2 linked regions of the Callithrix jacchus genome follow. The protein of the gene in region 2 purifies or fractionates together with the protein of the main gene of each other region. This does not show direct contact. Links are inferred from orthologs where the notes say so. Each region holds a gene or a part of one and is shown on either strand. Other genes may lie near its edges.

Region 1 (3,816 bases), on a different chromosome or scaffold from region 2:
TCTGATGGCTCTGTCTTTTCAATTTATGGGAGAGTAAAACTGGAAAGGCATCTTAGAGTTTACTTGGCCCAACTCCCCACATCATACAGCTGAGGCCCAGGGAAAGTAAGATGATTTGTTCAAGGCCCCACAGTTACTAAGAGGCTGAAAAAGGAGGAACTCCCTCAGGTTTTTAAAAATTCTAAATAAAAAATCTTGACTTCTGAAAGGTATTATCTAATAATTTAGTTGGCTACTTAAAGTACTTTGGGATCCTATTCTCCTCAGTATTTTTGGGGCCTTTTCAACTCAACATTTTTCAGACAGCAGCAAACTAATCTGTTACATTATCTATACTGAAAAGAGTTCAAAGTCCCCTTCTTCTCCATTGACAGCTTTTAAATGAAATCTTTAGAAACCCAATGCAGAAAAAATATAAAAGCAGAGCTGCCTTGATTAAAACATACAGGAGTCCTGCTTTTACTTGCTGTTTTGTCCTGGAAGCCCCTGAAATACTTTCTTGGCATCTTAGGTGTCAAAGAAACAGTTTATTTCTAATGTATGAGAGTGTTCTAGGGTGCTGCTACTCAAAATATGTTCCTCAAACAATCAGCATCACTGAGGAGTTTGTTAGAAATGCACAATATGAAACTTCAACTCAGGCCTACTGAAAAATCACAACGAGCATATTTAACAAGATGCCTAGGTGACTGATAGGCACATTAATGTTTGAGAAGTTTCTCAAATGATATGAAGAAACACACACACACAGACAAACACACACACACTCTGCAGACCCAAATTTTTATTAGAGTTACATGACACACAATTACTACAGCTATCTTGTCATGGACCAACAACAAACAGTTTACAGACTCACACTTGGGGTAGCAATGCTCTATAGCAACCAAACCTTAAACGGTGATCCTGATCAAATCACAACACCTGATATACTAAGAAGTTAGAAACTTACTTCTTATCAAAAAATGTTGAATTCTCCTTCCTCTTGGTGAATCCGTTGGGTAGAAGTTTTAAATTAATACCTTGCCTTCGGGCACGATTTTTCATAAAGTACATCTACCAACCAAAACCAAACAGACAAATTAACTTTTAAATGCTTCAAATTTAAAAAGTGAGTGAAACAATTGTTCAATAATAGTTTAGATTTACTGAAAACCTAAGTGTTACAACAGCTCTAAGAAGTAATCTCATGTAATCTTCACAATGATACTATCAGAATAGGTATTATCATCTCCATTTCAGCAATAAGAATTAGTGAGATACCAACATTATACAGCTATCCCAGAGAGAAAGAACCTGTATTCAACCCAGGTCTAATTCTAGAGCTTGTGTTTTTAACCATAAGTGCTATGAGTCAAAGAATAATTTAATGGAGATTAAAACAAACAAACAAACAAACAGGTCATTTGGCAATCATAGGGGCTACCTACACAATTCTTGATTGCTTTTACTGATGGTTTTACCAGTTAGTTGTATGTATCCCTGATTTTATTAGTAGACAATTCACTCAAGGGAAGAGCCATGGCACTGCCTAGTACCAGGCCTAGCTTAAAGTAGCCACTGTTGTGTGAAGCACAAAATGGGATATGAGAACATTCTTGCTTTGACATGTGTACTACATTGACCACGTGGGTTGATTAAAAGCTAAACTGGAGAATTCCAGAGTTACGAAGGAATTAATACCAGATTTTTTATTAAGTCAAGGAAAAAGATCACTCAAAGAAAAGGTAAAGTATAAATGCAAGTTTTCTGTTAAATGAATATGGATCTAGAATTTGCAATGTAAAATGGTAGAGTCAGAATCAAGTCATGAGCCAAGGGAAAGAATGGGTCAGCTATCACTGGCTAAGCAGGAAACTGTCTGAAGAAATTGCATGTAATTTTCTAACTTAGAGGACTTTGGTTTCAGTAATGGTATTGATTACTATAAATAATTATAATAGCAGTGATCAATCCTCCCAATATACCTTCAGGAAAAGGGTGAACCAGAAACTATCACTATTTTGAGAGCAAGCTAGGGAACTTGTATGGTTACACTGAAATAGAGGAAAAAAAAAAGTCCATTAGCAGCTATGGCTATGGGCCATCCTTTGCTTAGATTTGCAATTATTTTGCCTTGCAAACATCAATGAATAGCCAAACACTAGAGAAAAGGAAGTGGGAGGCCTTAATCAGATAACAAGTTTCAGTAAAAAACTAAAATAATTGAGAGAGTAGTATTGGTGCAGGATAGACCAGTAGGTCAATGGAATGGAAAAGACAAGCCCACAAAATAACCCAAGCATATAGGGATGCTGATATATAACAAAGGTGGTCCTACAGAGCAGTAGGGAAAGGATGAACTTTCCAATAAATGGTGCTGGGAAAAGTGGATCATCTATATGAAAAATTAAATGGGACCTTCTCTGTACATGATACCAAAAATCAATTCCAGTTAAAGACATAAGTATAAAATGCAATAGTATAAAGCTTTTAGGCAATAATTATGAGGGAATAACTTCCTAACTCTCATCAGAAATTAGAGAACTGCACATTGAAAACCATAATAAAATTACATAGCCAACAGATTGACAAAAATTTTTAAAGTCTTACCAAATTAAGTATTGGTGAGAATATGACAACAGGTACATTTATACACTACTGGTGAGAGTGTAAACTAGTATATCACTTTGGAAAATGTTTTGGTAACATCTAGGCAAACTGAAGATATGCATACCATAAAACAAAGCAATTCTATTCTCAGGTATAAACCCTAGAAAAACATCTTCACACACATAAAGATCAGGGAAGGGCATAAGAGGGTGGCATGGAACTTCTGGGAAGCCAGTAATGTTCTAATTCTAGACTTGGGTGGTAGTTACATGAATGTTCATTTTATAATTTTTCATTATACTGTGTATTTCCATTCTGTGACTTTCTAAAACAAATACATGCTGTATTTTACAATTAAAAAAAAGTTTTAAAGTAATTTATCTCTAAGTAGAATTTTAATTGTGCCTAATTAAGTTTGAGGAAAAATAAGAGTTGCTGTATAAATAATTTTCTTTCAGATACATGTAATATAATACCAATAAAAAATGCCAATACCAATAAAATAAGGTATTTAAAAGGTATTAAAATCCTGCAACTCCAATACTAAAATGAACACAATTGCAGGATATGATTTAATCATACCATGAACGAATTTTTGTAACGCCAGTTGCCAAACATTCCAAATATGTAAGCTGTACTTCTGCATAGTATTTAAGGAATGAAAAAGGCAATGCAAGAGTATGAAAATTAAGTGTATTAGAATAGCAAGTCTTAGCTTTTCCTTCAAAATCAGAATCTAATCCCCTCTCAATAATTCTAAGGGCATACCCAAGCCACTATTATCTCACAAGGATCACGCGAAGAGCTGCATAAATGGTCTCCCTGCTTCCAATCTTCCACTCTTGCCTCCCTAAAGTCCACAGAGCAGCAAGAGTGGTTTTTCAAAAGGCAAATTTTTGTCCAAAATCCTTCCATAGTTTCCATTTGCACTTAGAATTAGAAACCCTCACCAGTTTCTTTTTCTTCTTTCTTTTTCTTTTGAGACAGAGTTTCACTCTGCTGCCCAGGTCGGGGTGCAGTGGTGCAATCACAGCTCACTGCAGCCTTGACCTTCCTGGGCTCAGGTGATCCTCCTACCTCAGCTTCCCAAGTTGTTACAGGGGCACACCATCATGCCTGGCTAATTTTTGTATTTTTTTTATAGAGACGGGTTTTTCACCATATTCTCCAGGCTGGTCGTGAACTCCTGGGCTCAAGCAAGGCTCCGGCCTCAGCCTCCCAAAG
Region 2 (4,430 bases):
AGTTTGAAAGAAGAAATTCCAACCCTCACAGATGAATTTGAGGGGTTCAAGACTTCAGTGGAGGAAGTCACTTCAGATGTAGTGGAAACAGCAAGAAAACTAGAGTTAAAGTAGAGCCACAAGATGTGACTGAATTGCTGCAACCTCATGATGAAACTCTAATGGATGAGGAGTGGCTTCTTATGGATGAGGAAAGGAAGTGCTTTTTTGAGAAGGAATCTATTCCTGGTGAAGATGCTGTAAACACTGTTGAAATGAGGACAGAGGATTTATAGTATACATAAACTTAGTTGATAAAGCTGTCTCGACTTCTGGGCTCAAGGAATCCTCCTGCCTCAGCCTTCCATGTAGCTGGGCCCACAGGCATGCCACCATGTCTGGCTAATTTTATTTTTTGTAGAGATGGGGGTCTTACTTTCTTGCCCAGACAGGTCTCAGATTCCTAGGCTGAAGCAATCCTCTTGCCTCAGCCTCCCAAAGTGCTGAGATGAGGGTGGATACAGTGGCTCACACTTGTAATCCCAGCACCTTCACAGGGAGGGTGAATTACTTGAGGACTGCAGTTCAAGATCAGCCTGGTCAACATGGTGAAACCTCATCTCTACTAAAAATACAAAAATTTGCCAGGCGTGGTGGCAGGCACCTGTAATCCCAGCTACTTGGATGGCTGAGGCAGGAGAATCACTTGAACCTGGGAGGCAGAGGTTGCAGTGAGTCAAGATCGCGCCACTGCACTCCAGCCTAGGCAACAGAGACCCTGCCTCAAAAAATAAATAAAGTGCTGAGATTATAGGCGTGAGCCATCCTGCCCAGCCTAAAGTATTTTTTAATCAAGGTACATAAGTTTTTTTTGGACATAATAATATGCACGCTTAACAGACTATGATAAAATGTAAAAATAACTTTTTTGCCCCATATGACCTGCAGGAAAATTTTTATATGCACTGGGAAAAACAAAGTGTCTGACTTGCTTTACTGCAGTGGTCTGTGACTGAACCCCCAAGAGCTCCAAGGTATCCCTGGATCCAGAATCTGACTACTTCTCACCATCCCTTGAGCTTCGCCCCGGTCCAAGTCTCCAATATCTCTCATTCAGACAAGTAACTACAATAGCTCCTAACCAGTTTTCCTTTCAGTCAATTCCCATCAACAGACACATTAAACCTCTTAGAGCATAAATCGGATCATGTCACTCCCCTCTACTATCCACCTCACGACAGTAAAAGTCAACGTCCCACAATCTACGAAGACCTACCAGGTCTTATCCTCTTCCCCCATCTTCCACACTCCAGGCTCAGTCCTCTGTAGCCAGACTGCTTCCCATTCTGATGTATAGCTTCTAAGCCTTAAGGCCTTTGCACTTGCAGTTCCTTGAGCCTGTACCCCTATTCTCCCAGATGTATGTATGGTTGTGAACCCTCGCCTCCTTGAAGTCTTTGCTAATATGTCACCTTCCTTGTGACTAAAATGACATTTAAAACTGCACTACCAGGCCGGGCGCGATGGCTCACGCCTATAATCCCAGCACTTTGGGAGGCCGAGGTGGGTGGATCACGAGGTCAAGAGATCGAGACCATCCTGGTCAACATGGTGAAACCCCGTCTCTACTAAAAATACAAAACTTAGCTGGGCATGGTGGCGCGCGCCTCTAGTCCCACCTATGGGGAGGCTGAGGCAGGAGAATTGCTTGAACCCAGGAGGCGGAGGTTGCGGTGAGCCGAGATCGCGCCATTGCACTCCAGCCTGGGTAACAAGAGCAAAACTCCGTCTCAGGAAAAAAAAAAAAAAAAAACTGCACTACCTGGCCAGGCGAGGTGACTCACGCCTGTAATCCCAACACTTTGGGAGGCGAGGAGGGCGGATTGCCGGAACTCAGGAGATCCAGGAAGGCCTGGCCAACACCGTGCAACCCCATCTCTACTAAAAATATAAAAAATAAGCCGGGCCTGGTAGCGTGGGCCCATAATCCCAGCTCGGGAGTTTGAGGCATGAGAATTGCTTGAACTCGGGAGGCAGTGGTTGCAGTGAGCCTCTCTGCAGAGGTTGCATAAGCTGGAGTGAAGTAGCTCGCGCTACTCTTCACTCCAGCCGGAGAGACGTAGGGACACTCTACCCCCCACAACAAACAAACAAAAAAAACAAACCCATACTACCTATCATTCTTCTTTATCTCACTCCACTGCACTCATAACCTTCTAATGCACAATATTTTATTTTGCTTATTGTCTGTCTTCCCACACGAGAGATATTAATATTAAGCTCCACAAAGACAAGAATTTTTTTTGTATGTTCTGCTCACTGCTATATACCCAGATTCTGATACATAGTTGAATTCAGTAAGTAACTGCTAAATGGAATTAACAGGCAACAGGGAAACATTCTAGTCAGACATATTTTGAGACATTAATGACCAGACTCCAAGAGTGCAGAGGCAAGGCAGAGTGGAGAGAGGAAACGGAAAGTGCAGAGGAAAGAACGGAAAAAAGGTAAAGGGGTCGACCCACCTGGAGGAATAGCCTACCTGGAGGATTGAAGGACTTCTGATGACGAGAAAATCTATCAGAAGACTGTCTCCAATACCATGATGTGGAAGCGTGGAAATTCCAGGAAGGCTGGCCATTGGGTTGAGGCTGAGAATCAAGGGGGAACTGGGCATCGAAGGGGGGTTGCGCCCCGGGAAGAATCTGGGCGTCGAAGGGGGGCGGCGCCCCGGGGAGAGACTGGGCCTCCGCGGGGGGCTGCGACTCAGAGGAAGCCTTTGACCCGGCTGAGGGAGACGAAGACGTAAGCGGTGGCGGTGGCGGCGGCAGCATTGTCCAGAGCATCCAGCTGTCCCGCCGCAGGGCAGTGTCGCTCTGAGGCCCTAACGTGGGAGTCAGCTCGGGAGACTCACGCCACCCGGCAGGACTTACGAAATCACCAGCCGGCTCAGCCATACCTTCTGCCGGGTCCTGAGTCTAGCACGCGACTGCGGAGCAAGCATTAGACGTCACTTCCGTTGCCGTAAACCACGCGGCCCAGCCAACCACAGACTTTACGTCATCAGTCGGCGCCGGGAAACCTTCCATTCTTCTCTGCGGATCGCGGGATTACTTTGGGATAGGTTTGACGTACCTGGATAGACTCGTATCTGTGACCAGTGTCCGCCACTGCGGATGGCAAGGGACCTGATCGGACCGGCCCTGCCGCCCGGCTTCAAGGCCCGCGGAACAGCGGAGGACGAAGAGCGGGATCCGAGCCCCGGTAAGCGGCCGCGTCTCCGCAGCCCACCAGGCCTATCTACCCCCTCCCTGGCCGGGCCCTGCACGCTGAAGAAAGGTCGGAAGCCTAGGAGGACGGAGGAGTGGGGAGTGGGCACGGCCCGACCCGAGAGGACTTTTCTTCCCAAACGGTAGCAGTAGGGAAGAGGCTGGGGTACCCTCCTAGAAACCGAGTTTTGGCGTGGTAATCTTCGTAATGACAGTACATTCTCATTTAGCGCTTAATGTGAGCTGCAAGCTGCCCTAACTGACTGATACCCATTCAGTCATTTAATCCGTAGGAGGAAAAGACTATTTTCCCAAGTTGCAGATGGGTACGCCCATTGCCAGGGTCTGCAGCATACTGCTAGCAAGTGCTGGAGCGCGACTTAGAAGGAAGCGGTTCTCCTAACCTCTGTGCCATATTTGCCTTCTGATGTACAAGAAGCTTGCAGATCCTGTTCTCTCCAGCCCCGACCTGCCTTCCTAGCCTCTCATTCTATTATTGCATCTGACACACACAGCCCAATACTCAAACCACCAGCCTGTGTTTCTGCGCAGTTTCTTAACGCTCCAGGCTTATGGGCTTCCTCTGGTTGCATTTCTAAACATAACTAACAAACTTCTACCTATCCTTCAAGGGCCAACTAACATGTCACACAATAAAACCATTCCAAATTCCCCGAAGCATTGTCACGCCTTTCTTTTTGCCCTCGGGTTTTTTCCTAATTACATTGCGTATTTAGTACATTTGTATCTGAATAATTTGTCGACACATCTCTCTCCACCAATGCGCTATGGTCTTGTACCAGAAAACACAACAGGCACTTCGTGTATACCAAACAGATGCTTCTCACATTCCGCCATGCATACCTATGTGCTTTAATGTTTGTTCATAAACCTGAAAGAGTAACCCTGCCATTTCTGAACCTAATTTGTCTTCCTTGTCTACCCAGAGGCCATTTTTCTACTACAGGCCTCCTAATCTAATTTCTGTTATAACCTTTTAAAAAATCATGCTTTCCAGCTGGGTGTGGTGGCACAAGCCTGTAATCCCAGCACTTTGGGAGGCCAAGGCAGGCAGATCACTAGAGGTCCGGAGTTCGAGACCAGCCTGGCCAACATGGTGAAACCACCTTTCTACTAAAAATACAAAAAAATTAGTCAATTGTGGTGGCAGGCTCCTGTAGT

The links.
Region 1: the proteins of NUFIP1 (region 2) and ZNHIT6 purify together in Homo sapiens (affinity purification with western blotting; 3 studies listed by BioGRID and IntAct, with this or other methods). This does not show direct contact. The link is inferred for Callithrix jacchus from reciprocal best matches to the Homo sapiens genes NUFIP1 and ZNHIT6.

The regions. Positions count from the first base shown.
Region 1 is NC_133508.1:122,939,644-122,943,459, forward strand, and holds part of ZNHIT6 (box C/D snoRNA protein 1), read right to left. Parts: intron 1,057-3,816; coding exon 953-1,056; intron 1-952. UniProt on the Homo sapiens protein: Required for box C/D snoRNAs accumulation involved in snoRNA processing, snoRNA transport to the nucleolus and ribosome biogenesis.
Region 2 is NC_133506.1:164,197,788-164,202,217, forward strand, and holds the start of NUFIP1 (FMR1-interacting protein NUFIP1), read right to left. Parts: upstream 2,973-4,430; 5' UTR 2,937-2,972; coding exon 2,522-2,936; intron 1-2,521. Other genes in the region: GPALPP1 (GPALPP motifs-containing protein 1), read left to right, coding at 3,156-3,243. UniProt on the Homo sapiens protein: Binds RNA.